Notamacropus eugenii: one gene and its partners. The protein of the gene in region 1 purifies or fractionates together with the protein of each later gene. This does not show direct contact. Links are inferred from orthologs where the notes say so. Each region holds a gene or a part of one and is shown on either strand. Other genes may lie near its edges.

Region 1 (7,886 bases):
TTCTTCCGTTCCCCATGGTCCACAGGATAAAGGCCAAATTCAGAGGCCAGCTGCCTCCCAGAAATTAAAATCACACTCCTTTCTAATAAATAATAATAGCATTTACATAGCGCCTTAAAGTTTGCAAAAAGCTTGACAAAAATCTTTTTTTAAACAGCCGAGGAAATCAAGTCCCCTGCAGATTAAGTGATTTGCCCAGGGTTACACAGCTTATCTAAGGTGGCATTTGAATTCAGGACCTTCCAGCCCCAACTTGGTTGCCTTCTCTAGCCACAGCACAGATCATTTCCGCCCCACAGCCCTGTCTATGGAGGTAGGGATGCCCCAGGCCTTCACCAATGAGCATTCGGTATTTGTGGGGGTGTCGCGCATCCTCAATGACAGGAATGATGTTTGTCCTCTTCTTGGCCACGTTGATGAGGTCTCGGCCAGATCGATGAGAAAACTCAACAGCGTAGACCAGACCTTCCTGAGGGGCAGAGGAGAGCTCACTGTCCTCACCTGTCACATGATCAAGAACCCACCACCAAGCCCTTCCTCCTAAGACTCAGAGCACCTGCGACCTGGGGAGCAGCAGGAGCCATGCAAAAATCAGCAGGTATCATTCTGTGCCATACTTCCTGCCCTCAAACCCCTTTGTTCAGAGTTCAGTAGCAGGTGAAGAATCTCTTCAATGTACCTCACCGCTAGCTCTTTGGGTTTTGTATTTAAGCAGTTAGGAGGTGGCAGCAGGCCCTCCCTATTCTTATTCTATTTGTGAAAGTGGAGAAGGGTTCCCCCAGACTCACAGGGCCCACAATGTCAGAGACATGTGAGACAGTAGTGCCAGATGCTGCTCCCAAGTAGAGTACTTTGGCCCCAGGTCGGATATGGATCTGATCCACTCCACCTAGGATGGCTGCAGCCAGTTTTGATCGGAAGGGGTTCCAAGCACGGTATTCCAACTTCGCCTCACCATCCTGAAAGGGTGGAGGAAATCAAGAGTCAACTCTTCATACTCTGGCCCTCCACTACCTTCCCTATGTCCTATACCTTACTCCCTTTCCCAACATAACTTGGGATTCAGCGACAATGGTGGCCTTGCTGATCTGCGGGATGCTCCGTCTCCCAACTTTGGCATTTTCACTGGTGACATGCTCCCCCAGAACTGGAAGGCTCTCCCTACCTCCTCTATCTCCTACCTGCCCTGGCTTCCTTCAAACCTGAAATTCCATTTTCTACAAGAAGCCTTTCTCAATGCCCCTCTATACTGTCTCCCTCAGGGATCATCTCTAATTTATTCTGTACTGTATATGACTTGTTTCTATATGATAACTGCCATGTCACCTTTCCCACTAGACTGTTTTGTGAGCAAGGACTCAGTAAATACTTCATGACTGACTGAAATGGGAGCCTGTCCCACATCCCCTCCCACCACAAGGTCCCATCCTCACCTCCACAGTGATTCTCTTCTCACCATAGACTGACTCCCCGGGTACCATGTTCTTTGTGACCAGAGCATCTTCTTTCCCTCGACAAATAAAAACTCCTGAAAAAAAAAAAAAGAGGGGCCAATGTGACTCATGGGCACCCCCTTCTTCTCTACCAGGCATCCCCTGTCTCTGAAACGAGGAAAACTGGTAACAAAGAAAACAAAACTGCACAATGGCCGTTTTGCCACTTTCTTTGCTAAGAAAAGTGGCACTGGACATGTCCTCACTCACCCTCATGTCGATGAGGCTCCACAGTGACCTTCTTTCCTCCTTGGAAACCTCCTCTGCCACCCCGGCCTCGACCCCGGGGGGTGCCTCTGCCCCGACCCCCAGGGGACTGGAACCCTCCTGCGGGAGGCAAAGATTCCTTGCTGGCTGGACAGTCCAACATAGATCCCGGAGGAAGTGCTCCTTCCCTCCACCCCCGTGAGCCGGCGACCTCAACTCACCTCGGCCACCTCCTCGGCCACCGCGATCTCCAAAGCCGCCCCGGCCACGGCCCCCGAAGCCTCCTCGGCCCCCGAAGCCTCCTCGGCCCCCTCGGTCACCACCTCTGCCACGACCTCCGAACCCCCCCCGGCCCCCCCCTCGGGGGCTGAATCCTGCGGGCAAAAAAATAAGTTAGCCAGAAACTTCTTCGGCCGCTTGCCAGCTCACCCGGACCCCAGGTGACGAGGAAGCTCCACGTTCACGTTCATGGGAATGGGGGGAGGGGGACAGCCCCACAGCACGGGAGACCCTTTATCACGCCCCAAACTGCTGTCAGTGCATCTGGGAGATGAGACAGAGAAGCCCGCCGTCCCCTACGGAGGAACCCGGGAGGCCCAGGGAGGGGTGGGGGTGCTGAGGCTGGAGGCCCTTCCCTCCTCTCCCCGGAGCAGCTCCGAGGAAGGGCCCAGCCCCTCCCACCCCCGCGGTGACAGCCATCCCAGCCTGGCTCCAGGGGGAGGGTCCCGGCCCGATCGGGCAGGCCCACCAAACCCGGCCTCGGGCCTCGCGAAAGCTGCGGGCAGGACGCGGGAGTGCGCGGCTCGAGCTCCAATCCGGCCCCAGACCCTTCCCAGCTGCTACCCCAGGCTGCCTGCCTCAGTTTCCTCGCCGGTAAAACGGGGACCGTACCAGAGCCGCCCCTCCGCGCCGGGGGCGAGGAGGGCTGGAAAGCGAGAGAGCGGAGAAGGCGCCACGGTCCGCGGGCCTCCGGCTACCGGCGAGTCAACTGAGGCGCGCAAGCCCTGGCCCGGCCCCAGTCTGGGCCCGCCAGTCCTCCCCAGCCCGGCCCCAGTCTGGGCCCGCCAGTCCTCCCCAGCCCGGCCCCAGTCTGGGCCCGCCAGTCCTCCCCAGCCCGGCCCCAGTCTGGGCCCGCCAGTCCTCCCCAGCCCGGCCCCGCGCTCACCTGGCTTCATGGCACGCGGCTCGCTCTGCGCAGGAAGCGGAAGCAGCAGCGGGGTCGCCCCGCACGGCGGCCGCCAGCAGACACGCGGCCACCGGGCCTCCAACACCCCCGGTTACAGCCCGCAAGGGAAGCAAGAGGGGATTGGCGTGCCCGGCGCCGGGTTACGTACGTAAGCACGCACGCAGCACGCACGCAGGCAGGAACGCGAAAGCTCCGAGACGGGTCTTCTCTCGCCTGCGCAGTCTAGGTTTACCCGGTACCTTTCTCTTGTCCCCGCCTCCCCGGTTGTCCCTTACGTCACCTCGCAAGGGACGGTGGAATCCTGGGAAAAGTAGTCCTACGAAGTCCCAGGCCGGGGCCGCAGCATTTCCGGGATCGAGAAGGCGGGGAGGGCCACGTAGGGCGTCATGACGTCACGAGGGCGCCAGGAGGCCGGGGTGCCCTGTCGGGAAGTGTAGTTTTGAACAGATGCTTTTGTCTCCTAGGAGACGTCGAGAATGGGTCCGGAAGTGACTCGTGGCCTCGTGAAGGTGGCGGCGGCCTCCTGCCGCAGTGCCTGGGGAGGCCGCGAGGCGGCGGTTTCTCTCGCTACCTGTCTCTGTTCTTCCTCCTCTGGTTCCAGCAGGGCGGCGCTCCTCAAAGTTTGGTGAGAAACACACGTTATTCCACGATCCTCCTGGGCACCAGGCGCTGAGGAGCCGGAACGGAGGCCGGCCCTGCCCTCCGGGAGCTCCCACCTGAGGGGGAGGGGCCGCGCGGCGAAGGAAGCTGAAAGGTGGGGGGAGGGGCAGGCCCCTGGCGTCAGGTGGGAGGGGTCCGGGGAAAAGCTTGATGTCAAAAGAAAGTGTATGGTGACATATTTGCGGTATTTCTGGATCTGTCAGCTTCAGTCTGTCTAGCTATTTCATTCTGGTGGAAGTATATGAGGTGTATTTACCCAGATACCTAGTTGGAAAAGGGGCAGGTTTTTGAACAGGCAGATAGCCTCTGGGTATAAAACATGGTTTTGGCCTCATGGATCCCCCTGACCTAAGGGGTCCTGGGCAATCTTGAGGAGTCTTTTTGAGCACCACCGATGTAGGGGATGAAAGGAGATCTTGTTCAGCATATTAAAAAATAATCCATTTCTATGGTTCCGCTTTCACTCCCCCCCTTCTGAGTTATTCTATGGACTGTAATCATCTAGTTTCTTGAACATAGAAAAAATGGAGGAAAATTAAAAATTTAGTTTTTAGGAGGCAAAAATTAAACTTCTATATGGAGCACCATATGGATTTGGAATCAGCAACACTGATCTTTGTAAGTTCAAATCCGGCCTCAGACACTTCTAAGCTGGGTGACCCTGGGCAAGTCACTTCTCCCTGTTTGCCTCAGTTTCCTCATCTGTTAAATGAGCTGGAGAAGGAAATGGCAGACCCCTCCAGGATCTTTGCCAAGAAGACATCCCCCCAAAAGGAGTTACAAAGACTTCACAGCAATGACAACAAATACGGGTCTGGACAATGTGCTTTATGATATGTGTTTGGGGAGCTGTAAAAACTGGCATGCTATATCTGTATACCATATATATATATAAATACAGACAGAGGTTCAGGACCTTAGTGAAAAATTGCCAGGATTTGATCCTGCTTGGGGTCATCTGAGCTAAATAATATAGAATCTTTTAGAAAATATATTTTAATTTTTACTCCTTAATGCCTCCCCACCAAATTAAAAAGAAGAAAAAATTCTTGTAACAAATGTGCATAGTCAAGCAAAACAAATCTCCACATTGGCTGTGTTGAAAAATGTATACTGTATCTCATTGTGCATCTTGAATCCATCACCTCTGTCAGGAGGTAGGTAACCTGCTTCATCATCGGTTCTCTAGAATTGTGCTTGGTCATTGCGTTGGAGAGTAATGTGAAAGAATTATGGATTTTTTACATTTTATGAATATAGCCTGAGCTCCAAAGCCTGTTGGTATGAAACGCTCTCCTCATTGGTGAAAAATTAATGTTCTGTACTTATGTGGGGGGCAGAGTGGAACTGGTGAACCCAAGAAAGAAGAGAGGTCTGATCTTCAGTCTCTGGGTTCTGGCTTCTACCTCTGAGAAAGAAGATTGATCATTCTAACTTCTCCTAAAGTAGCTGAAGGGAGAGAAAGACTGGGAAGAAACCAGCATTCAAGGAGCTGTCAGTTTTCATTATATCGCTATCCACAGTTTTCTATACTAGAGGCTTAAAGAAATTTTTCCTCTTGGGTGATCTCTGGGGTTCTCTACTGGTTGAGCTGAGTTACCTTGTTCCCAGCAAAGCATCTTCAGTCTTTATTCTCTGATTTCTATTTTACTATCAACTTGGAAAAATGAATGTCTTTGCTATTTGTAATGTGAATGTTCATTGTGGACTTGGTGTTTGGTGGGAAGGGGGTCAAGCATTGGCTGTAAAGCTTGGACTTTCCCTATTAACTCATAGAGATTAGAAGTTTAACTTGACCTTAAAAATTGCATCTCCGAAGGCCCTATAGGTTCCCAAAGTGGGCAATACTGCCTCCTGGGGGGCACGGGAATGATTGGGGAGGTGTGTTAGTAGCCTCAGGTGCAATTGGGGGGTATTGAATAAAAATAAGGGGGTGGTGAAAGCATAAGAAAGAAGAGAAGAAAATTTTGAAAAACTGTTCATACATGTTTTATCTGTTGTGTAACAGAGTTAGTTATAGTTTACAAATAAACACACAAAATGCAAGTTACAACCAATCAGTGGTCAAGTCCACTGACAGGTCTTAACAAGCAAGTGTTGGCAGGTGAGTATGTCGCCCATTGTCTGGAAGTCCAGCATGCATTGGCAGGAATATGTGTATGTAATGACTTGTTTACAATATGATACTATACGGTTACATGAAGCAATATTGCATCATCAAAATTGCAATGCAGGAAAAACCCCACAAATTTACAACAAATTATTAAATTTAAAATGTGTCACTTAAAAATTATATTATTTTGAAATTATACAAATTTCAAAAATACCATTAAAGGGTAGATTTCCAGGGGGGCACTGAGTAATTTTGTTTAATGGGGGCTTTAGGTGAAATAAGTTGAGCAGCTTAAATAACTCTGGCTAGACTAATAACACTTAAGGGAGCAGAGAGAGAGAATTCTAGCCCAGTATTCCCCTCTCTCTTAGCAGAGCAGAATGGTCAGCCTCTGGCTCCAGTCTCTTGCAAAATACCAAGTCTCTCTTGGAGAAGGCTGAGGGGAAGAGACATGAGACATGTCTATTCTTCCCTTCCTGTGAGCCACACATGACACCCCCAGCTACATGAATTTCCCTAAATAGATCCAGAACTGAGTTTACCCCAGACAAAAGTCTGAGTCATAACTAAGCAGATTTGAGTGGTGGGAAGAAACTTGGTGAGGAAAGAACATGGAGACATGAAGTTTGTGAATGAGTGAATTGCCTTGAGTCTCTGCAAATTAGGCTCTTTGGGGAGAAAAAGGCTTGGAGGTGCTGTGTCCCCAGGCAGGAAACACTGGTTGGGAGCAGAGGTCCTCTGGGAGATGACCAAAGGTGGTGAATAAATCTGACAGTGTTTTTCTAAAACCAGAATGTTAGACTTTGGGACATAAGAAAATTTCACCTCTGAACTAGATTTCAAAAAATTAAACAGTCCAAGCACATAACTTCAGTCTCATTTACATCCTTTTCCTACCTTCTCTTATTCCCCATAAAGCACAGTTTTCCAAATTTCAGGGTCTTCCCAGTCCAGGGTCAGAAAGGGAGCCAGACACAAAGCACAAAGTGGTGGTCAACATTATTGAATATTTTTTACTTCAATTCTCACATAAAAAACATCCACTTTTTTTAATGGAAAAAAGTTCAAACCAATGTCAACAAAAATTGAGATCAATCCTGGTGAATTTGCTCAGTCTGGCAGGGATGGCATGCAGCCCTGTGATTATATAATACAGTGTGTGCACAAACAAGGTCAAATTGGTGTTGGTGCCTGTTGGACAAATTTCCATGTGGGAGTAATCTACTGCTGTGGCCATTAGCCAGTTGGCATGGGGTCAGGTGACATGGGCCTTCTAGCTGCTTGCTGCATTTCCACATGAATCGTGTGAATATGAAGTTAAATAATCTTTGTGTATAGTTTTAGAAGGGCTGTAGTATCTGTTATATTTCTCAATGACTTGGTTTTCTGAAACATCTCCAACTTAAAAATTAAAATAACTCAGGAACAATTAATCGGTTACCTTTTGAATGAATTTTAAGTTGAATGTCCCATTTTTATTTTAGTCAAACATGAGCTAAAAATTATTTGTGTAGATTGTTTTAGGAATACAACAATTTTTCCTTTAAGGGCAATGGAGGATGTCTCTGCGATATTTAAGAACCACTGAGTTTTCTGCAATAACACTGGCATACTTCTTGGCATTAAGTACATAGCTAATAAATGCCAGATGAGCTAGCATATGTAAAAGTGCTTTGTGAACCTATAAACTCTATTATTATTACTGATTATCTGTCCTTTCCAGGGCATAGACAAGGTAGTCCCCATCTTACCACTGTTTTCCAGAATGATTTCCACTCAGCTATCAAAGTATAAATTTGACTATGAACGCCCCTACTCAGTAAACAGCAGGGGGTCCCTATTGCTTCCAGGACCCAATGTAAACTCTTAGGTTTAGCTTTGTAAATCCTGCATATCCTAGTCCATTACTGCTCCAGTCTTTTCACTCTCCTCCTCCACAAACTGTATTCTGAGGTTCACTGACACTAGCTTTCTTCCCATTCCTCAAAGAAGACACTCCATCTTCAGACTCCAGGCATTTTCCTTATCTGTACCTCATGCCTGGAGTTGTCTCACCCCACATCTCCATTTCCTGTCTTCCCTTACTTGCTTCAGGTTCCAGTTAAAAGCCAATCTACAAGAAACCTTTCTCAATCCTCCTTAATGTTAATGCCTTCCCTCTGAGATTAACTCCAGTTTATCCTGTATGTATCTTGTACATATGTAGTTATTTGCCTGTTGTCTGTTG
Region 2 (7,740 bases), on another chromosome or scaffold:
CACACAGGCCATGTCCCAAAATGTGTCTCATTTTGCATACTGAATCCTTGGTCTCCGTCAGGAAGCATCTTCCAGAATCACAATTCTAGCAGTTGGTCAGAATTCTTAAGTCTTTAAAATCCACTCATTTTTACATGAATTGTCTTGGTCCTGCTCCATTCATATAAGTCTCCCCAGGTTTCTCTGAAATCCCTTCCATCATTCCCCATAGCACAGGACTGTTGTATGACCTTCATCTACCATAATTTGTTCAGCCATTTCCCAGTTGATGAGTACCCTCCACCCCCCCCACCCCTCACACCTTGTTTCCAGCTCTTTGTCATCACAAAAAGAGCTGCTAGAAATATTCTTGTACATATAGGACCTTTTCCTCTTTTATTAAAAGATCATTTTAGGGGTTAAGTCTATTAAAAATTAACAAGGGCTATTTTTACCATTGGGTTGCACTGATGAAGTTTAGTCAGCAGACTAATGTGCTTGATTTAAATAAAATCATGTAGCAATTGCACTTTGCAAATTGCATTTTAACCAGCAATTTTTTTCCTGCCAAAGGATTTAAGACCTTGGAGTGTATAACAAATCTGACCCATCTACTTCACCATTAAGATCCCCTTCAAAAGGCTTATAATGGTTGTGAGCTTTCCCCTGATAAGGCTAGGGGAAAGAGGGCCTTTACTTCTCAGGTCAGGGATTGAGAAAATGCCAGTTCCTTCTCAGTCCCTTTCATGATGTGGCTGTCCTTCCCATCTTATATAGTTTGTACTGTATAAATAATGGCTGAGGGAATGGATGATTCTTTGCAGATTAAGGAGACACTGCCCACGATTTCCAGTCTGTCTTCATATAATCTGTCCTATGGCAACCCTCCCTCAATTATTCTGGCTCTTTTGGCACATGCAGAGGTCATAGGATCCCAATATTATAGGCACCATAGCGGGAAAGGAATGATTTGGGGGCTTATGCTGTAATCCCTGGGGAGAAGGGGCCTACCTTCCTTGCTACCACTGACTAGTGACCAACTGTTACCAATGAGTGGGTAAGCCCAGGAACCCTAAGTCCTCCCCTAGAGCACTGATCCTGCTTCCCACCTGGCCGTGAAGCCATCCATCATCCTGGCAAACAATCCCTATAGAGGTAGGATGTGGTAAATGCTTCTGCCGCTTAAAGTCTGATCTGCGGCCCCTTCTACTAAACACCCAGAAAAGAAAGCTCTCAATACTAAAGTCCTTGACATTGTCAAGTTGTTCAAAATCAGAATACAGGGATGATTATATCCATTTAAATCCATTAAAGAAGATGCATTACCAACTTCTTTGCCAATGGACCTTTCTATAGGACCTGAACCAGAAGCTTCCATTAGAATGTGTGCTCCCTGGGAGCAGAAACTGTCTTTTCTATTTGTATCTCCAATGTTTTGCACACAATAAAACCTTAACAAATGCTTTATTATTAACCCATTCATTAGGTTATAGTGATCCTCGATGTCTACAATTTTAGTCATCTTTTCTTCCTGGGATCTTATATTTGGCCTTAAACCCCTGAGAAGCTGTGCAGAATGAGAGGTCTGCCTACCTCCCTTCCTGGGCAGCTTGGCTGTGTTGGTAGTAGTGTAATGGAAAGAACACTGATCCTGGTCAAGGGACCTGAATTTGAATCCAGATTCTGTTACTAACTGGGTGACTTATGGCATGTGAAGGGGTTAGACCAGATGACCTCTATGGTCCGTTCCAGGTCTAGATCTAGATACTAAATTCCACCTTTATTTACTATTTCGGTGATGCTGGTTAAGTCACTTTACCACTCCCTGTTGCTTCATCTATTCAAAAAAATGATAATAATGCTTATAATACCCATTTCATAGAGTTGTGGGGAAGAAAGTACTTTGCAAGCCTTAGGGACCTATAGAAATGGAAGCTGTTACTCTTACAGTCAGGCCCAGTTCTTCCTCTAAACATCACTGCCACATCTACTAAGTACTTCATGGACATTTCAAACTGAATATCTCCAATGTAATACATCCCAAACTGAACCTATTTCCCCTCTTCCAAACTTTCCTGTTTTTGTTGAAGGCATCACCATCCTCCCAGTCTCCCAGGTTCATAATCTCAGCATTATCCTCCACTTCTCAGACTCCCTTACCTCACATCCCAATCAGCTGCTAAATCTTGCCATCTTTTACATCCCAGCCCTTCTCTCTTCTCACATAGCCATCACCTTGGCTCACTCTCATCATCTCTTGTGTAGACTTTTGCAACAACCTCTCACAGTTTGGTCTCCCTGCTTCAAGACTCTCACTGTTACAGTCTATCCCACACAGCTGCCAAAGTGATTTTCTTTAAAGCTCAGACTTGATCATGTTACTCCCTTGTTTAACCAACTCCAGTTGCTCTCTACCACAATAACTAGTGTTTAACTATTTTTATTCTCCTTATATTTCTTCTGTATGTACTTTTAAATATTCTTATCTTCCCAATTAGACTGTATAAACATCTTTTTGTGTATGCACTGTTTCATTCTTTGTACTAGATTTACTGTGCACCTAGCCCAGTGCCTGGAACAAAGTAGGTGCTTAATAAATGCTTGGAGATTGACTGTTCCTGAGACATACATAAGTGGCTGCCCATCTGACGAACAGTGTAATTTCATCATTACTGAATTCTCACTTACATTAATAACCACCCTTCTATCCAAACAGTTTTACAACAGTCTTTTTCTAGAATTCAGCTGTTAGGCCTGACTTTTTAGGGCCCTACCTAAAGAGTTCATTATAACATGCTATCTGGTTACTAATAGGAAGGAAAGCATTAAACAGGGAGCTATGGCCTCATCAAAAGTATTTGCCATTGCCATGGAGGATGACTAGCACAGAATATAAATTGAAGAGGGTTTTCCATTACAGGATCATGGAGATAAAACTGAAAGAAACTTAGAAGTCATCTAATCCAACCTTGCCATTTTACAGATAAGAAAGCCAAGGCCAAAAATTACCCAAGAAGTAAGTATCAAAGTATAATAAGGCTTTCCAGATATTTCCATTTGCAAATAACATTGTGGATGAATAAAACTCTTGAACAGCAAAGAAACCTCCTAAATAAATAAGATCCATAATCAATCAAAAGTGAGGGATCATCCTTGCCTTCTCATTCTTAACTTCCCACATACGCAGTAAGTTATCTAATATCCAAATTTGTTGTTTCTCCTCAACATCCCTCCTATCTACAACCAATTAACGTGGAAAAAAATCTGTCCTATGTTCTATTTCATACTAATGGACAGCTCACCTCTGCATAGAAGCAGGTGTAGGTGATTTCTTCATACTGGCACAGAACAGCCATTACCCCAGTCCAGGACGGGGGAACCTGTGGCCTCCAGCCCTCAGCTGCCCCCGTCCAAGTCTGAACTATTGCAACATTCTCCAGCATGGCCTCTCTACCTCAAGTTCCTTTTCACTAGAATCATCTTCCATACACAAGCAAAGTCATTTTCCTAAAGCATATGCCTGACTCTGTCACCACTCTACTCAATACAGTGGCTCCCTATTACTTTTAGGATCAAATATAAACTCCTTTCAACATTACTCTTCTCCACACTCTCTGTGGTCCAGTAATTTAGGCCTTCTTGTTAAATAAGACACACACACACACACACACTCCACACCGGTACCCTTTCCCTCATCTCCCTTCTGCCCCTTTGCACTTTACATCCCTTTCTAACATGTTTTCTTTTCAACTCTGGCTCTTGGAAACCTTGGTTTCCTTTAAGACTCGTCTCCAGTACTAGTTTCTAACAGAAGATGTAACTGGTTCCCTCAGTTGCTGTGTCTTCCCCTCAAAGGTTAACCAGCATTTGCTTTGTATGTGTATGTAGTTGTACACTTTGCTTTTTATTTTTAAAAATCTTAATTTATTTTCATAAATTCCGGGAACAAAACAAACACTTCCATAACACGGTAAATAAAAAAGATGACTGCACATGAAACTGCAAATCTGCTTTGCTCTTGCCGCTAAACGTACAACAGTTCTCATATAAACAATTTTTTTTCCTTTCCTCCCTCATCAGGCGGTGGAGCCGAACCCCCAAAGCCCCAAGGCCACGTCCCTGGAGGTAGCCCAGCCCCGCCTCAGTAATTCCCTGGGTCGAGGACAGATGCAGGGGCGCCTGGCCCAAGGATTTCCGTCCCTGGCATGAGCCCCAAGGACCACGCTCGGGCATCGCTTCCGTCCTGTCCTTCGACACGGCGCTCTGAGGCCTGCCACCACGCGTGGCATTCCTTTTCCCACAGGATTCCTATCAGGCCGCACGTTCCCCAAAGGCACTTGGGCTTCTCTAAGACTCACAACACACCTTGGCCGCTCCTAGCCCTTATCTCCCCACCTGGGTAAGGCTGCCATCAGACACAAACACACTGCTTTTCCTTCTGGAAAGCAGGGGCTGTTTCGGTCCGGCCTTGGCACAAGCATCCCTGGCCTGGCACAGGAGGCGCTCAATAAATGGACCGTCCGGCTTGTGCTCCGCGGGGACCTGCCGCCACGTGTCCCGCGGCCACCGAGCGCGGGCTCGCTGGGCTGGGCCGGCAGCCCTGGGGAAACGGGGCCGTCCAGCGTCTCCCTGAGGCAAGTCTGGACAACGCTAGTGGGCAGAGCGACGTGGGAACACTACTGCAGGTCAGTCCCTGCCAGGCGGTGACCTTCGGAAGGAGGCGGGGAAAATATGCGACCGGAAACGGAAGCAGGCCGGCTATGCGTAAGGGGCGCGAGGGTAAACGTACGGACAGTTCACGCACGCCAACAGGTTATCGCGAGAACTGGAGTTAGACTTGCTCTGCCCCGTTCCTCCTTCCCGCGGTAAAGGCTGGTGGTGCTTGAGCCTGCGAGCATGGGTGTTGACCTCTCCCGTAGGTGGACGTGGCTCAGAGACCCATCAGTTATCTCATTTTCTAATACCTATTAGATTGATCGCAGCTACGCTCCCCCAAGGGCCGCTGGTCTGCGAAAGCTCCGCCCCACTCCCACCAGCGCCGCTGGAAAGGCGGGAAGCAGCGCGCACGCGGAGGCCGCGGTGGCGCCTATGACCCTTCCTTACTTCCGGGCGAGGCCATTTTCTTCAGTTTCCCCCTTGGTCTCCTTAATTAATGGTGCCTTCCTCGGGTTCTGAGTGGAGGCTTCCATCCGGAAGAGGCGGGGCTAGTGAGGCTAGGGTTCCTGCGTGTCCGGCGGGAGGCCCGCATTGCGATTGGGGCTTCAGACTGCCGCCATGGTGAGCTGGGTGGGGGCCATGGGGCAGGGGTCGAGGGTCGCCGTGCGGTGCAGCTGGGGGGTGGAGGGAGTCATCCGGCCGGTGGAACTAGAGCCTACTTAGCTATCACGGGTGTGAGGTGGGGAGCAGCCCGGCAGAGGCCAAGGGGCCGCCGAACCTTGGGCCGCGTGCGTGCGGCCTTTCTGTGGGCTGGGGCTGGGCGCTCCCCGCCGGACAGCAGGGCAGCGTAATGCTCGCGGAGCATGGGGCCCTGGGACCTCCCGGAGGGCCTTCGGGGATCGGCCTGTGGGAGCTGGGCGGGCAGCGGGGAGGTGGGCCATGTGCTCGGGCCGGGCCTGAGCAGGTGGGTTTCGCGAACCCCCTTCATTTCTCCCTGGGTCTCTCCTAGGTGCTGCTGCACGTGCTGTTCGAGCACGCCGCCGGCTACGCGTTGCTGGCGCTGAAGGAGGTGGAGGAGATTAGCCTGCTGCTGCCTCAGGTGAGGCCGGCGAGAGAAGCAGGGGCGGGCCGGGGTCCCCACCCCCAACCCAGCCCCGGGGCAGCAGCGGCCGCCGAGCTGTGATGAGCATTAAAATCTGTCAATCCCCTGAGCAGAGTGATGTCGCCTAGTCTCTGAGCACGGTGTCTGCCCCGGTCCGCGGGAGGGAAGGCCACGTGCTCAGCCTCGTCTTAGATCTAAAACCTAGCCTTTGTTTGCATTTCTTGGGGCGGAAAGGGGAAGCCAGCATGGAAAGGGAGCCGTGTGCCCCAGGGCGCACGTTTAGTATCCGCTTTTCCCTGGAAATGGGAAATCGGGCCTGCCCTTAACCCCGACCCCCCCAACTGTAGCGGCCCTACACACTCTTTCCCTCCACAGGTGGAGGCATGTGTGCTGAACATTGGGAAGTTTCACAGTATCGTCCGGCTTGTGGCCTTTTCCCCATTTAAGTCCGCCCACAGTGCTCTAGAGAATGCTAATGCAGTATCTGAAGGTGAGTGGTCTCACCTCTTTTCTGTGATCTTTTGTGTGTCCCCTGTGCCCTTCTAACCTATGCTCTTATCCACAGGCATTCTCCATGAGGACCTCCGGCTTTTCTTGGAAACCAACATGCCGGCTAAGAAGAAGAAAGCTTTGCTGGGTGTTGGGGATCCTAAGATTGGGGCTGCTATCCAAGAGGAATTGGGCTACCCCTGCCAGACAGGTGGTGTAGTGGCAGAAATCCTTAGAGGTAAGATTTCAGGTGAATCACGTGGAAGTCATGTGCCTTGATATGGTAGTTGATTGGGTACCAGATCCTATTCAGGTCCTGTGCTCTGAAGGACATTAAAAGGGTTCTGCTTGGTAGTTTCTTATTCTGCCTGTTTTCTCCCAGGAGTTCGTCTGCATTTTCATTCTCTGGTGAAAGGTCTGACTGAAGTTTCAGCTTCTAAAGCCCAACTGGGACTAGGGCACAGCTACTCTCGGGCCAAGGTCAAATTCAATGTGAATAGGGTGGACAACATGATCATCCAGTCTATCAGCCTTCTTGACCAGCTGGACAAAGACATAAACACCTTCTCTATGCGGGTCAGGTCAGCTCCAGGGTTTGGTGGGGCAGATGTTTAAGCAGGGGCTGGATTTTGGACTGTTCCTCCAGCCCTACCACCTCCTGTTGCTTACCACAGACTGTGTTGTACTTTGCACAGACTGTATAGAAAAAGGAGGCAGAGAGATCTTCCTCTTATACACCTCAGCCAGGAGCTTGCCTGTGCTCTAGCTGTATTGTGAAAGGGGAGACAGTAAAGACTTGGGAATCCAGAGTATTGGGTTTGGGGCTGTGGGTGAGGTGTGGTTTTTCTGGACTACTACCTTTTCTTTCTGTTTAAGATCATCTCTTTTTTTCAGGGAGTGGTATGGCTATCACTTTCCTGAGCTTGTAAAGATTGTTAGTGACAACGCCACATATTGTCGCCTGGCCCGGCTTATTGGCAATCGCAAAGAACTGAATGAGGAGAAACTAGAAGCTCTGCAGGAGCTGACAATGGATGAAGCCAAGGCCAGGGCCATCCTGGATGCATCTCGGTCTTCTATGGGTCAGTGTTTCTGGTTGAGGTCTTTGTGGGTCAATTGGGGGAGAAGAGGATATTCTGTTGTGCACTAATTTGCCTCCTTGTTTTTCCCAGGCATGGACATCTCTCCCATTGACCTGATCAATATTGAGAGTTTTTCAAGTCGAGTGGTATCTTTATCTGAGTATCGTCAGAGTTTGAACAAATATCTGAGCTCTAAGATGTTCCAGGTGGCCCCCAGCCTGTCAGCACTCATCGGGGAGTCGGTCAGTCATTGGGGTGTGTGCTAGGGGGGGACTATTGCCTTACAGCTATTGTCACTTTCGTAGCTCCACCTAGCTGCCTGTTTTCTCCTTGGAGTTAGAGTGGGTTTGGTGGGATCAAGAATACTCTTGACCACAACCTTTTTTTTTCTCCCCTTCCAGGTGGGTGCCCGACTGATTTCCCATGCTGGGA
Region 3 (7,402 bases), on another chromosome or scaffold:
GGGCAAGTCACTTAACCCTGCCTGCCTCAGTTTCCTCATCTGTAAAATGAGCTGAAGAAGGAAATGGCAAACCACTCCAGCATCTTTGCCAAGGAACTCCAAACGGGGTCACAAAGAGTCAGACATGACTGAACAACAACAAATTATTATTATCATCATGATTAAAGAGGCATCCTCTTCACAAGGAGGCAGCCTGGATTGAAAAGAGCACAAGATTTGAGATGAGGAGATCTGAGTTCCAATCTCCCATTCACTAGTTAGAGTTCAGTCTCTGAAGCTCAGTTCTGTCATCTATACAAAGCAGATAGTAATAATACCTGGGCATGATGAGAATGATGATGGTAGCTGACATCTAAAAGTTTGCAAAGCACTTCTACGTCATTTCCTCACTTGATTCTCCACTGCAGTCCTGTGAGATAGGTATCATTCACCTCCTTCTACAGACAAGGAAGCTGAAAGTCAATGGCTGCAGCCTCAGGATCTTAAAACTAGAACCCCCAGAGGCAGGCTGCAATCCTCAAGCAGCCAGCTGCCTAACTGCCCCCTCTTCAAAGAAGCTCCCTCATGCCTCAACTAAAAGCTTCTCTCTCTCTCTCTCTCTCTCTCTCTCTCTCTCTCTCTCTCTCTCTCTCTCTCTCTCTCTCTCTTTCTCTCTCTCTGTCTTAGAGGTAACAGGGTTAGGTGACTTGCTCAGGGTCTGAGGCTGGATTTGAACTCAACTCCAGGGTGGGTGCTCTATCCATTACACCACCTAGCTGCTCCAACCTTCTACCTTTCCTATAGTCTTTTGTCTCACCATACTTGTGTACCTGTGTACATGCAGTGATGCTCCTAGTCAACTGGAAACTCCTTGAAGGCAAGGTTTATGCATATTCAGGGAAGAGCCTTGCACACAGAAGGGATTCAAGAAATGCATGGTGGGTTGGATTTATGCTTTATATTTAATGCACAGGGTCATCCATTTGATCAGCATTTATTAAGCACCGACTACAATCCTGGGTTGGATGCTTAGGGATATAAAGACACATAAAAGGAAAAACACCCTGCCCTCTGCATGGTGGTGGTGGTGGTGATGGTGGTGGTAGTGGCGGTGGTGGTAGTGCTAGGACATTCTCACAGAAAAGGAAGTCCAAGAAAATCTGAGGAGAGGAGTAATGTACCCCACAAGGAGGAGGATCAGAGTATCTGCAAGCCTCAGGAAGGTTACCTGGGCCATATGGGTTGAGCTAAGAAGGATGGATGGATTGTAACAGACCAACCCTGCAGAGGAAACACATTCTAGGCCTAGGAGCCAGTATGTCCAAAGGTATGAAGGTGGGGGTGGAGATCAAGTTTAAAGAAGAGCAGGGTGGCCAGTCTGACCAGGACCAGACTGTGTGAAGGGTTGTAACAGAATAATCGTTCAGAGCTAACAGGGGCCCCAGGCCTCATACAGTCCAACCCTCTCCTCCTACAGATAAAAAACTGAGGCCCAGGGAGGTCAAGTAATTCATGCAGATGCAGCCTTCAAAGGGGCTTCAGAGGTCACGTGGTCCAGTCCCCTCATTTTACAGAAAAAGGTGAAACCTAGGGAGGTTAAGTCCCAGGTCATGGGCAATAAAATTAGAGGTGGGATTTGAATCCAGATCCTCTGACTTCAACAGCCACAGCTTTGCCACATGACCCTACTGCCTCCTGCCAAGAGTAGGCTGGGAAGGGCTTTGAACGTGGTGCCAAGAATTCTGCATTTGATTTTAGGAGTAATAATAGGGAGCCACAGAAGGTTTTTAAACAGAATGACACAGTCAGACGTGCGCTTTAAGATTAGTTTGGCTGTGTGAGGATGGTTTGGAGCAGGGAGAAAACAGAAACAGAGGAGCCAATTAGGAGGCTGCGGCAATTGCCCTGGTGAGAGGTGATCAAGGCCTAGGCTGGCAGAGCCGCCTTGTGAGGGGAAAGAAGGGAGCAGGTAGACCGGTGGAACCAACAAGACTTGGCAGCTGACTGGAGTAGGGAGGGGAGAGCTGGGAGCTGGGGAGAAGAAGAAATGAGGATGACTTTAAGGTTCAAACTTAGATTACTGGAAAGACAGTAGTACCCTGTCTAGAAATAAGGAAGGTCAGATGAGGGGGAAGTGTAGGGAGGAACATTATGGGTTCCCTTTTTGTTGAGCTTGAATTGTCAAAGCAAGAGGGTATGTATCCAAGTGGAGAGAGAGGTCCACATTAGGCTGAATACGTAGATCACAGCCACCTCGGGAATAACAGTCTAGACAGCTTTTATGGTGGTCTGATCCCTTCCTTTCTACACTTGCCACTCCAATATCCAACAGGATCCTAGCTAGGGATTGGGCAAGGGATGGGAGCCACTGCATATAACAAAGGGTGGGGAGAAACCTCTAGGCTGGAGGCCTGGGATCAGTCATGTCTGAGATGCGTCAGTCAGGAGAAATACCATCTCCTCCAGCCATGCTCATGCCCTTGTGACAAAGCCCCAGTCACTCTCCTAAGCTGTATCTTCGACATAGATTCAGTCCTCTAGGGTTAGAGACCAGCAAAGGGAAGGCCAGAGTTTCATGGACAGGGCTTCCTATTAGGAAGTGAGCACCATGAGACCATCTTGGGATTTTCCCAGGCACCAAGCATGGGGAATAGCAGATGCTTCATAAGTACTTATTTTATGAATGAAAACCATAAACTTGAGAACCACAGTCACACCTTTCTGTCTGTGGGCCAGGAAGGGTTAACCTTAGGGTGAACTCATGTCTTTACCTCCCTGGGGATGCTGTTTCTGGTGTAGCACCAACCACTGGGCCTCAAAAGAACTCTGGACCATGCAATCTAGCCCCTGAGGGGTTAAAGGGAACTGGGTAGGAGGAAGACAGCACTTGTAAAGAAAAGGGGGCTCCTATCTGGAGGGAAGAGGCTTCCCTTCTTCCCCCACACCTGACTAGCCTCACCCATGGAAAGAATTTTTTATCTCTGTTTCCCAGTTCACAAACTCCTTCCCAAGATATCTAGGCCTGGCCCACATAGCCTTCTCCCTTTTTCTATCAATTCCAGGAATGCTCAGCTCCCCCAGGCTTGGCACAGTCCTGGGGCTGAGTCACTAGATGGGATGGGGCAGGAAGAAGGTGGGGGGGTGTAGGGGGCAGGGGAGTAAGCCTGGGGGGAGGTAGCTTTTGTAGTGGTGGTGGTGGGGGCTCAGATCAGAATGGCAGAGGGCTCAAGCACAGAGGATGGAAGGATCCTGAGAGAGGGTGGGCATGACAGTCATACCAACCTAGACCCCGGAAGTCATTCCTAGCTCTTTGGTCCAGGGCTGTGTCCATTATCCCTTGCCTCTCCCCACCCTTCAGGGTAACACTCCTCCAGAGTCTTTGCCCTAGAGCCAGGTATCTGAGACCCTCCCCTCTTCCAACAACCTCCAGCTCTTGCCAGCCCTAGTTTCAGGCACCTTGTGGTGGGGTTGTTGGCACTCACCTCTGGGCAGCCAGTTCTTGCAGGGGCTTTGAGGCAGGGCAACACTAGGGCTGGTCTTCAGCAGCTGCTTCTCCTCCCCCAGACCTGCCCCCCCCCAGTCCCAGGGTGACCTCAGTATGCATTTCAGGCAGTAGGAGGGGCCACCAGGCTGCCGGGGCAACAGGCAACCCAAGCAGCCCAGATGCTGGGGAGGCCAAGAGGGAAGGGCAGAGCCCGGCTGGGCCCTCAACAATGGGTTGGCCCTGGTTATCAACATGCCCTTTGGGACAAGGGAGGACCTTCAGAGACTGGCACACCCTTTTTATTGTTGCTTCCTGCCCTCAAGGAAGAGGAGGGTGATTAGGGCACACTGAAGTGTACATGTGTCTGGGTGAGGTGTGCTGCCCTGGTGGGGGTGGCATCGCTCCCAGGTGCCATTCCTAGTGCCCGGCTGGCACTGCCAACAGCCCCAGGCTCTCCTCGTCACCAGGGGGTCCCTGTCTGGTGCGCATGCTCGGGAACCCCAGTGTCCAGTTGGCACTGCCAACAGCCCCAGGCTCCCCTCGTCACCAAGGGGTCCCTGTCTGGTGGGCATGCCTGGGCACCCAGCCGGCCCTGCCAGGCTCAGTCACGCTCTCCGTGCCTGCTGGACACACGCTAGTCAAGCCCAGGCTCCTTTCTCGTGCCCAGCTGGCACCACCGCTCTCTCCAGGAGCCTCTGTGCTCAACGCAGGCCCGCCAGTACCCACTGGCACGGCCCGCTCTACCCCACCAAGTGCCGGGCGCCCCCTCCCTCCCCCAGGGTGTATCTCGAGCGCCCTCTAGAAGCTGCTCCTCGGAAGCACAGCAGGCTTGCTCCTCTCACTCCCCCTCCCCTTCCCTTCCCAGACTCCTCCAGTCGGGGGCATGCGCAGTAGCCCCCGGAGCAGGAAGCGGTCACGACGAACTTCCTATTACATCTTCCGCAGGCAGTAGAAGAGCCCTCCCCCTTAAGGGCTGCGGCCATACCCCCCCTCTTGACCTATGAGAGATCCAGGGGCGTGGCCATAGCTGTAGCTGGGTCCTATGAGGGGAGAGGAGAGGCGGGGCCAGAAGGCAAGATCCTATCGGTGTAGAGGGGGCGTGGCTCAGCCTTCCCGGTCAGCCACCACGTGAGCTGCGGGCTTTTCAGGCTGAAGTGTGGAGGCGACATGTCGGCTGCTGCGGTGGTCTCGGGAAAGCGGGGGAAGCCGCCGGGCCCGGGTGCGGGGAAGCGGCGGCGGAAGGTGAGGCCGTGCCCTTTCCCGGGAGAGGCGGTGTCTCTCGCCCCAGCGGGGGGGTCCAGGCCGGGCTCCTTCCCCTCCCCTGGGTCCCCTGGGTCCCCTGGGAGTGCGGTCCTGGGCCTCGGCTCTGCCCTGCTGGGCCCCCGCTTTGCCACCTTCTCCCTCCCTGGGGGGTGCCAGCCTGCGGCTGCCCGCGGGCACGGCCTCTGACGGGGGACGGGGCCCTCTTCTTGGCAGCCCGACGCGGAGGGGGAGAAGGCCCAGCCCAAGGGAGGCCCCAAGAAGAGAGCCAAGCCGAACGAGGAGATTTCCAGCGACTCGGAGCCGGAGAGGTGCGTGGGCCGGGCCGGGCCGGGCCGGGGGCGGAGGCCTGGTGCACCCCCTCCTTCCCCCGACCCCCCGGCAGAAGTCCCGGGAGCGGGGGGGCCGCCGGGGTCAGGGGCAGGGAGGGAACGTCCTGGGTCCCCGCCCCTGCCCACGCGAGCTCCTGGAGAGGAGGGTCCTGAGGCTGGAGGGGGCTCGGAGCTGGCTCCTTGAGGGCACGAACCCTTGGTTCTTGTCTCTGTGCCCCCCGCCCCTGGCACCCGCTGGGCCGTCCCGGGGCCGCGCGTGCCAGGCCCCGAGCCCACTCCTCTCCCTGCGCCGTCCCGCTTCAGCATCTGGGCCTTGGCGGAGGACTCTCCCGACCCTCCCTCGGCTTCTCCCAAGGGAAGCTGCTGGACCTCGGGCTCGGCGTGTCCGGAGCCCTTCCACCGTTCCCCAGGGTCTCCCCTCCCAGGCTTTCCCCACCGCCATCCCCCGGGGCTTCCCCCATCTCTGCCTGGCAGCACCCTCCGTGTAGCCTCCTGTCCCTTGTGCCCCCGTTATCCCAGCAGCCTTCTGCCCGGGCTCCTCCCCTGCTTAGCTGCCAGGGGTTCCTGTCAAAGTCCGACCCGTCCTTTGTGTGCCCTCCTCCCGCCCCCATCGGGACCCTGAGGGCTCCTGTCACTGCCAGGGTGAAATGTAGAATGCCCATCCATCCTCAGCTGGGCCTTAAAGCGCTGTGCCACCTGCCCCTGCCTGCTTGTGCCTTGGCATGCCCTGCACACTCCTGGCTTTTATTCCCCTCCAGGATGACTCTCCATCTGCACTGCCTGTGTCTCTAGGCACAGGTTAGAACTGAGGGCAGGGACAGCGCTTTTGCCCTTAGGCAGAGTAAATGCGTACTGGATGTTGTTGGCTGGCATGTTTGCTAACCATGAACCAGGTTCAGCCCTTCCTTACACAAGGGGGAAGCGACTTGCCCAGGATCGCACTGGTTAGGGAGTTTCTGTTCTGGGCTCAGTAACTGAGGTGCAGAGATGGACATGGAACAACCTCTCCCCTCAAGGAGCTCACTTTTTTGGTTTCGTTTTGTTTTTAAATTATTATTATTAACTTATTTTTTTCAGTTTTCTACAATCACTTCCATGTCTTAATTTTCTCCCCCTCCCTCCCCGCTTCTTCCCTGAGACATTGTACAGTCTTATATGGGTTCTACACACACGTTCTTATTAAACGCATTTTCACATTAGTCATCGTGTGTAGAAAAATTAAAATGAATGGGAGAAACCATGAGAAAAAACATAACATAAGAGAAAATATTCTGCTTTCCAACTCCATAGTTCTTTCTCTGGATGTGGATGGCATTTTGTCTCAAGAGTCCATTGGAAATTTTTTAGGGCCTTGCATTGCTGTGAAAGGCTAAGTCTACCAGAAAAATTCCTCACACACAGTAGTTGTTACTGTGTACAAGGCTCTCCTGGTTCTGCTCCTTTCACTCAGCATCAGTGCATAGAAGTCCCTCCAGGCCTCTCTGAAGTCTTCGGCCAGGCAAGGAGTCAGGAGGAAGTAGTCCCTGATCCAAAAAGCAGAGAGAAGGAAAGAGCCTTTCAGGCATGGAGGACGACCTCGGTGAAGGCACAGAGGGAATGAGTGGATACCTGTCCTGTGAAATGGCCCTAAACAGTGGGGCAGCTGAGATGGGAAGTGATAAGAACTGAGAGGCTGTGGGGGGCCAGAGTGTACAGGGCTCTAAATGCCGGACACAGGTTGTTTTTCATTGTGAAGGCAATGGGGAGCTACAAAAGGGTCTTGAGCAGGGGAGTGGCATGGTCAGAGTTTTAACCATAGTCAGATAGACTGGAGAGAAATTGGAAGCAGGGAGACCCAGAAGCAGTGTGGTTTAATGGTACAAGTTCTGGGCTTGGAGTTAGGATGACCAGGACTGACTTCCACCTCAGAAACACTCACCAGCTCTGTGATTTTGTGGTCCTCAGTTTCCTCACCTGTAAAATGGAGGCGTTGGTCTCTTCCAGCGCTCAGTCTGAGTCTGTGGTCCATCTGGGGGGGTCCAAACAGAACAAGTCTGATCCCTCTTCCACCTTTACATCTCCCTTGAGTCTTTTCTGGGTTAAACACCTTCAGTTCTTTCACTTGATCCTTCTATAGGACATGGATCTGAGCCTCTCTACTGCCCTGGTCTCCTTCTGGATACCCTTCAGCTTATCAGTGTCCTTCCTCATGGTGCCCAGAACCCAGCGTAGGGAGGATCCAAGGAATAAGCATAAGTGTTTTACAAATATCATCTCATTTCATCCTCACACTCCTCTGAGAGGGAGGGGCTGGTATTAGCCCCATTTTACATTTGAGGAAATTGAGGCCTGAGGCCAAATTTGAACT
Region 4 (7,750 bases), on another chromosome or scaffold:
ACCTATGATGATAATCTGTGTTACAGCGATTTGCTTATATGCATGTCAGCTAATCTAGGATCTGGGCTACCCTGAGGATTTTCAGCTGTGGCTGGACAATCACCCCTCCATTTGCTTATCATTAAGGGTAATGGGTTAGAATTATGTCTACTAAACATCAGATATTTGCAGTCTTGGGGTACAATGATCCTTTAGGGGTTCAAGATAAAAGCCATTTTCTCTGGCTACTCTAAAATGAGGGCAACGGTGTACTCTTGGACTGCTTACCTCCCTCCCACCAGTGGCTTATTACACACAAAAAGATCAATATTGAACATACATATTTATCAATGTAAGTAGTAAAACAGAAATTGAGGATGCCATTCCTATTAGATCAGACATCAAAACACGTGAATTAATGGGCTTCTCTCTTTGGGAGTGAGATGAAATCTCAGGTTAAACAAAAGAAAATGATCTCACCCAAGAATTTTATTCTTAATAGTCTTTGGGGGTACAGGTGCTGAGAATTATGGGACATGCTGGAGGGTCAGCTTTCCCCATATGCCTGCAGCCCCAGAGGCTCCTGTTAGACATTCAAAATTTCATACCTTCTCTCATACCAGTCTTTCTCTTTACTTCTTTCTGTTTCTCTCATCCTGTCCTTGAAATAAACTGTAGCATTAGCCCAGAGTTATCCTCCAGGGAACCATCCTTGCCCATGTGGGCATTGAAATGCTATCAAAATGTAAATTCTTTATTAATAAAAATGTTTCCTGCTTTAAAAATAGTTCATATTTCTGCAGTAATTTCAGGTTTTAAAAAATGCTTCCTTCATAACAACAGTGTGAATCTGCTAGTTCTAATATTATTCCAGTTTTACAGATTTAAAAACAAATAACTGGGGGTAGGAGAGTTTATAATGTATTCAAATTTTCTGGACTATTATGTCGCAGAATTTAGACTTAAAGGTCTGCTGACTCCACATCCAGTATTCTTTTCACAATATGCTGCCTTTGCCCTTTCATTCTCTTGAAAGGAAATTCAACAATAATCAGAGGCCAAAACTTAAATACAGAGACAGAATTATTTTTTTTATTTGTTTTCAACCTTTATTTTCACAAAATTTTGAGTTCCAAATTTTCTCCCCATCTCTCCCCTCCTCTCACCCCAAAACACCTTGCATTCTGATTGCCCCTTCCACCAATGTGCCCTCCCTTCTAACACCCCTCCTTCCCTTATCCTCATGTTCTCTCTTGTCCTGTGGGGCAAGTAAAGTTCTATACCCCATTACCTGTATGTCTTATTTCCCAATTGTATGCAACAACAATTCTCAACAGTTGTTTCTAAAACTTTGAGTTCCAACTACTCTTCCTTCCTCCCTCCCCACCCATTCCCACTGAGAAGGCCAGCAATTCAATATAGGCTATATATGTGTAGTTTTGCAAATGACTTCCATAATAGTCATGCTGTGTAAGACTAACTATATTTCCCTCCGTCCTATCCTGCCCCCCATTTCTTCTATACTCTCTTTTGACCTTGTCCCTCCCCAAGAGTGTTAAGTTCTAATTGCTCCCTCCTCCCATTGCCTTCCCTTCCATCATCCCTCCCACCCTGCTTATCCCCTTCTCCCTTACTTTCCTGTAGTGTAAGATAGATTTTCATATCAAATTGAGAGCGCATGTTATTCCTTCCTTGAGCCAAATGTGATGAGAGTAAGCTTCAATTTTTCCCTCTCACCTCCCCCTTTTTCCCCTCCATTGGAAAAGCTTTTTCTTGCCTCTTCTATGAGAGATAATTTGCCCCATTCCATTTCTCCCTTTCGTCTCCCAATATATTTCTCTCTCACCCCTTAATTTTGTTTTTTTAGATATGATACCTTTCTATTCAACTCACCCTGTGCTCTGTGTGTGTGTGTGTGTGTGTGTGTGTGTATAATCCCTCCAACTGCCCAGATAGTGAGAAATGTTTCAAGAGTTACAAATATTTCATCAATAAAATACATATAATGATAAAAGTTCAAAGGATTATAAAACTTATACCTGAAGGGAACCTGATAAATCATTTATTACTCCAATTCTCTTATTTTACAGCTGAATAAGGTGAGGCTCATTGATATCTAGTGACTTGCTGAAAAGAACAGATTGGGAATTCAACTCAGGTCTCCAGACTGAATTTCTAGGACTCCTGATTGAATCCTTGGTGCCAGCCCACAACACACTGTGTTTTTGGGAGGAGAAGGTTTTGTGAGGAAAGCACTGTTTAAACCTTAGAGCAAGTAGAAATAGGAGCTGTTAGTATTATCTTCCAAGTCATTTATTTTCAACTGTTTGTGACTTTTGAACCTTTCCCAGGATTCTCTGAATAGTTGGGGGAAAAAATGAGATACCTTCTCTAGATTCAAAAAAATCTTCATCTCTTGACTATAGCAGAGATACCACGCTAATGGATTTGCTAATAAATGTTTCAAGACAGAATGATGGAACAGAATGATGGAATGCTAGGTCCAGATACACATGACTGGTGCTAATCTTTTTAAAGAAAGGCTTTTTGTTTTTTTAAGTAGCCTAGAATGTACTCCCTCCTCTATGCTGCCTTTCTGAATCCTTACCTTCCTTCACAATCAACTCAGGAACTATCTCTACAGGAAGCCTTCACTCCCCTACCTTGGTCCCTTAAGAAAATGGGTTCAAATTTAAATCAGTTGTTACAAAGCATTGACCCCTTTTAGTTGACTTCTGAACGCAGCATAGATATTTGATGAGCTATTCATTCCTTGATGAAGTGGCAACTTGGCAGCCTATGCAAGAGGCCAAAAAGGCTTGGCTTCAGGCAAACTTTGGAATGGACTCCAGTTTCTGGACCTAGGGTGACCATCTCCAATATTCCTCTTGGCTATCTCCAAAATTCATTCCCTTAAGAGCATGAAATAAAGGACACAACTGATACCGGTTGAACTGCAGGACTTGCTTTCTCTACATTCACCATGATGTTTCTTAGAGCAGATGACAATCAATAGGAGGATGAGACCAAGCCCTGGTTTGTCTTGCCAGAAGATGTGGACTGGGAGATTTTGTTGAATTCAAATATGTAAGCTCTTATTACTTATCTGTCAATGTCTTCTTCAATCAATTAATCAGCAAGTATTTATAAAATGTATGTACCAGACACTATGCTAGGAACTGAGGATACAATCTCTGATCTCAGGGAACTGACTTTCTATCAGAGGAGATAACATATACATAAGTAAGCATACACAAAATAAATACAAGATTTTTTTTTTTTGGAGGGGGGTGACGAATAGGTAGAGGAGGAGAGTAGGAAAAGATTCATAGAGAAAGTGTCATTTGAACAATTTTGAAGAAAAATCTTTAAGTGTTAAAAAAAAAGTGTTTATTTGATCCTTGAGGTAACAGGAAGCTAATGGAGTTTACAGAGCAGGGGAGTGGTGACCTTATGAAACGAATGCTTTAAGACAGTGGTTCTCAAAGGGTGGTCTGGGGTCCCTGAGATTCCATAGGGGGGGCCCAGACCAAACTTATTTTTATAATATTAAAATGCTGCTTACCGATTAAAATGCTACTCCATTTTCCAGTTACATATCTGTGTGATGCTGGATTTTCTTCCTGTGCTTTAACCAAAATAACATATTGAGACCTACTGAATTCAGATTGAGACTCTGTTGTCTATTAAGCCAGATATTAAAGAGATTCACAAAAATAAGTAAAACAATACCGCTAAATTTTTTGTTTTGGAAGAGTTTTCATAAAAATGTTATTCATGTTAACATGTTATTGCTATTTTAAAATGAATCAGTACTTATTTTAAAATGTCAGTTTTAATTTCTAACATAATGAAATTTATACATGATAATTAGTATTTTAAATTTAACATTCTATTTAGTATAATTTAATCTCTAATGGATAGATACAAGAGTCCGTGGTGTGATACAGCCAGCTCATTCAGTCTCTGCAGAACCAGTGAAGATTTTTCAGTGTGAGCCTTATACGGGTAGCACTGAAAAATGGTACAAGTTGGGGCTCCACTTATTGTTCTGCAGATTTTCTAGACTTAAAGTGATACAGAAAACTGTTAATAATTCAGAGTTAATCCCATAAAGTTAATTAAACTTAAGAATGTGTTGGATGTGTGTTTTTTTTCAGAGAGCTGGTTGTTAAACATGACCAGCACACTCCCTGGATACAACCCACATTCCCAGGCTCTCTGGCATCTTCTCCAGACCATCTCCTCTTGTTTCTCCAGGAGACTGCCCCCATCCTCTCTCTCCAATCTCTCTACTGTTTCTTTCCCCCCAAATCTACCAATAGACCCAAGTTTCTCTCATCCTTAAAAAACCACACAGAAAACCCTTCACTACACCCCACCACTACTTCCAGCTACCCAGCCTGACGGCTCTCCATCCTGAGACAAAGCTTCCTAAAGGGATTACCTGTCCTCATTCCCACAGCCACTACCTGGGTTTAGACCCCTGTCCCCCTGTTCGGGGGTACAGCAATCCTTTCCTCATTAGCCCCCCCGCCTCAAGCTTCTCCCCGACTGCTCTCCCTCCTCCACACAGCGGCCAAAGTGACTTTCTTACGATAGCAGGACTTGGACAATGGTAAGCGCTTAGTGAATGCCTGCGAACCTGACTCCACTCCACCAACTTCAGAGGCAGAGTGAAGCCGGAATGGGAAGGGGGCGGGCCCGGCCAGCTCTTCATCTCGAGTCCTGATTCAGGATTGGCGGAGCCGCTGGACCAGCTGCCAATAACGTTGCGCCGGGTTTGGAGGGGCGGGGCTTCGTGCTGTCATGGCCGCCCCCATGAGAGACACGCACGTGGTGTGGGTTTGCGGAAGAGGCGGCAGCGGGAGCCATGGCGGCGGCGCGGACACCTTCACGCGGTGAGTTCCCGGATCCTCCACCTTCCTCCTCCTCCCCGCCTCCTCGTGAAGTCCGGTCCGGGACGGGCGCGGGCTGCGTTAGGGGTACTGAGAGATGGAGGGAAGGACGGGAGGGAGGGAGGGAGAGAAAGGGGCTGGAAGGAAGGAGGCCCGCCCCGAGCCGCGCCGCCGGGCCTCCGGGCCTGGCTCCGTGCGTGGCTCCGGCGCGGTCCGAGCGGCGCGCGGCCCGCACCGAGGGGACCTCGGACATCAGCTCCAGACCCGCTCTCTCCTGGGCCTTGGAGCCTCCCCTTCCATTTTGCGTAGGGAGGAGAAAGTGAGTTACGGTCCTTCAGTCCGTCCGGAAACGGTTACTAGGCGCCCACCGCGTGCCGGCCAGTCGTGAAACGCTTAGGAAGTCTGTCCTGTGTGCCAGGCACCGGGCCGAACCCTTCGCGTGTAAGAAGAGGCGGGAGAGCCCCTGCCCCCACGGAGGGTGGGCGTGTCCGCTTTTCAAAGCAGGCATTTCCTCCGCCGCGTTCCGAGTTCTCCACACGCATGGAGACAGCAAGTAGTATGGTTAGCAGCTGTGCATATGTGCACGCATGCTAAGTATGATGAGCAGCTGTGCATGTGCACGCATGCTAAGTATGATGAGCAGCTGTGCATGTGCACGCATGCTAAGTATGATGAGCAGCTGTGCATGTGCACGCATGCTAAGTATGATGAGCAGCTGTGCATGTGCACGCATGCTAAGTATGATGAGCAGCTGTGCATGTGCACGCATGCTAAGTATGATGAGCAGCTGTGCATGTGCAAGCATGCTAAGTATGATGAGCAGCTGTGCATGTGCAAGCATGCTAAACGTGATTAGCAGCTGTGCATGTGCAGTCATGCTAAGTATGATTAGCAGCTGAGCATGTGCAGTCATGCTAAACATGGTTAGCAGCTGTGCATGTGCAAGCATGCTAAGTATGATTAGCAGCTGAGCATGTGCAGTCATGCTAAGTATGATGAGCAGCTGTGCATGTGCAAGCCTGCTAAACAGGATTAGCAGCTGTGCATGTGCAATCATGCTAAGTACGATGAGCAGCTGTGCATGTGCAAGCATGCTAAGTATGATGAGCAGCTGTGCATGTGCAAGCATGCTAAACAGGATTAGCAGCTGTGCATGTGCAAGCATGCTAAACGTTTCCACATTAGCCATGTTGCAAAAGAAAGCAAGGAAAATAAGGTGAAAATTATACTTCATTCAGTCTGTATTCAGAAATGAATTTATATTGCAATTTAATGAGTTTGCAATCCTGTTTTTTATGCATTTAAGAGCATTATTCTGAAGTGTCATCCAGGTCAATCTAATGGGAGAGACAGTATGCAAAGAAATATATAAAACAAGATACAGAGGAAATAAGAGGGAAAGCACTGGAATTAAGATGGTTTGGGAAAGGCTTCCTGTAGGACTTGGGATTTTATTTGAGACTTCAAGGAAAAGGGATGGGGTGTGTCAGTAGTTGTAATAGGGGAGAATATTCCAGGCATAGAGGACAGCCTGAGAAAATGATAAGAGGAGTGTCTTGTTAGTGAACCAGCCAGACCGCCTGCTGAGCATTGGCGATACAAAGAAAAGAGAAAGACCCTGCCCTTAAGGATCCCATAGACTATTATTTGTTGTTGTTCAGTCATGCCTGACTCTTCGTGACCCCATTTGGCGTTTTCTTAGCAGAGATACTAGAGTGGTTTCTCATTTTCTTCTTCAGATCATTTTTACAGGTGAGGAAACTGAGGTAAACAGGGTTAAGTGACTTCCTCAAGGTCATATAGCTAGTAAGTGTCTGAGGCCATATTTGGTACTGGACCACCTGTTTCCACTTATAGTCAGTTAGTTAACATTCAAATAACTAGGTACAAATATATCTATGATAAATAAGAAAGATATTGGAAATGATCAGAAGGAAGGCACCAATCTGGAGCCATGAACTTTTTGATCAGAAATATTTTGAGAATCACGTTTCAATTTAATTAGTTTACTTTGTAATCTTGGCTTCTGAGGTGTCTTTTAGGCAGTACATTAGGCCTGGAGTTTTGTAAGACTTCAAATTCACATTTAAGCAGTATGACCCCAGGCAAGTCAGTTAACATTCTGTTTTCCTTTGTTTCCTCTTCTGTAAAATGGAGCTAATTGAATACTACCTATCTCCCTGGGTGATTGTGAGAATAAAATTGAGATATCTGTTTAAAAAAACCACAGAAAGCCCTCCAAAATATTAGATTGTGGCTCCTTTCTTTTTTCCTATTTATATCCCCAGGATTTAGTACACTGTGCTTGGCATATAATAGGTGCTAAATAAATGTTTGTTGACAGTCAACTTAGCATTTTGCAAACCTTGAAATGCTTTTCTGAATGTCATTATTTTAACAATTTTAACATAACTGGACTTTTTAAAAAAATGACCCAATGCATTTTATTTTCTGCATTTAAAGACATTCTAAGTAGGGGTTCGTAGGTTTCACCAGATTGCCAAAGAATTCCATGGCAAAATAACATTAATTCTACTGTCCCAGGCTGTTACTTGTGTACCTCCACTCACATTTCTCCAGGGTGCCTTCTGAACCTTGAAACTTTACCTTTAGCTTTCCAGCCGTATCTGGCTGCAGTCAACACCTCCCTTCTGTCCAGGCTACTTACTGGAGTTTATCATGGAATGTAGAGTTTGAAGATCCCATCTAGGCCAACTCCATCATGTGTATATGAAGATACTGAGTCAGGGAGATGTTAAGTGTTAAGCCCCCCCTTAACCCTTGTTCTGCCTTCACAGATGACTTTGCTATTCTCCCATTTTCCTGCTCACTCGGTCTCCGACAGTCATGTTCCTCCTTATTTTCTTCTGTCT

What was found.
Region 2: the proteins of FBL (region 1) and NOP56 purify together in Homo sapiens (affinity purification with mass spectrometry; 6 studies listed by BioGRID and IntAct, counting the BioPlex papers as one, with this or other methods). This does not show direct contact. The link is inferred for Notamacropus eugenii from reciprocal best matches to the Homo sapiens genes FBL and NOP56.
Region 3: the proteins of FBL (region 1) and RRP9 purify together in Homo sapiens (affinity purification with mass spectrometry; 3 studies listed by BioGRID and IntAct, counting the BioPlex papers as one, with this or other methods). This does not show direct contact. The link is inferred for Notamacropus eugenii from reciprocal best matches to the Homo sapiens genes FBL and RRP9.
Region 4: the proteins of FBL (region 1) and DDX24 purify together in Homo sapiens (affinity purification with mass spectrometry; 3 studies listed by BioGRID and IntAct, with this or other methods). This does not show direct contact. The link is inferred for Notamacropus eugenii from reciprocal best matches to the Homo sapiens genes FBL and DDX24.

Annotation. Positions count from the first base shown.
Region 1 is NC_092876.1:32,316,237-32,324,122, forward strand, and holds the start of FBL (rRNA 2'-O-methyltransferase fibrillarin), read right to left. Parts: upstream 3,001-7,886; 5' UTR 2,876-3,000; coding exon 2,866-2,875; intron 2,075-2,865; coding exon 1,922-2,074; intron 1,821-1,921; coding exon 1,704-1,820; intron 1,529-1,703; coding exon 1,434-1,528; intron 960-1,433; coding exon 789-959; intron 470-788; coding exon 337-469; intron 1-336.
Region 2 is NC_092877.1:46,628,003-46,635,742, reverse strand, and holds the start of NOP56 (nucleolar protein 56), read left to right. Parts: upstream 1-4,739; 5' UTR 4,740-5,253; coding exon 5,254-5,256; intron 5,257-5,644; coding exon 5,645-5,734; intron 5,735-6,112; coding exon 6,113-6,227; intron 6,228-6,302; coding exon 6,303-6,464; intron 6,465-6,608; coding exon 6,609-6,807; intron 6,808-6,878; exon of another isoform or gene 6,879-7,017; intron 7,018-7,120; coding exon 7,121-7,308; intron 7,309-7,398; coding exon 7,399-7,550; intron 7,551-7,709; coding exon 7,710-7,740. UniProt on the Homo sapiens protein: Involved in the early to middle stages of 60S ribosomal subunit biogenesis. Required for the biogenesis of box C/D snoRNAs such U3, U8 and U14 snoRNAs. Part of the small subunit (SSU) processome, first precursor of the small eukaryotic ribosomal subunit.
Region 3 is NC_092872.1:3,026,394-3,033,795, forward strand, and holds the start of RRP9 (U3 small nucleolar RNA-interacting protein 2), read left to right. Parts: upstream 1-4,392; 5' UTR 4,393-4,630; coding exon 4,631-4,705; intron 4,706-4,939; coding exon 4,940-5,034; intron 5,035-7,402. UniProt on the Homo sapiens protein: Component of a nucleolar small nuclear ribonucleoprotein particle (snoRNP) thought to participate in the processing and modification of pre-ribosomal RNA (pre-rRNA).
Region 4 is NC_092878.1:35,535,590-35,543,339, forward strand, and holds the start of DDX24 (ATP-dependent RNA helicase DDX24), read left to right. Parts: upstream 1-4,741; 5' UTR 4,742-4,852; coding exon 4,853-4,880; intron 4,881-7,750. UniProt on the Homo sapiens protein: ATP-dependent RNA helicase that plays a role in various aspects of RNA metabolism including pre-mRNA splicing and is thereby involved in different biological processes such as cell cycle regulation or innate immunity.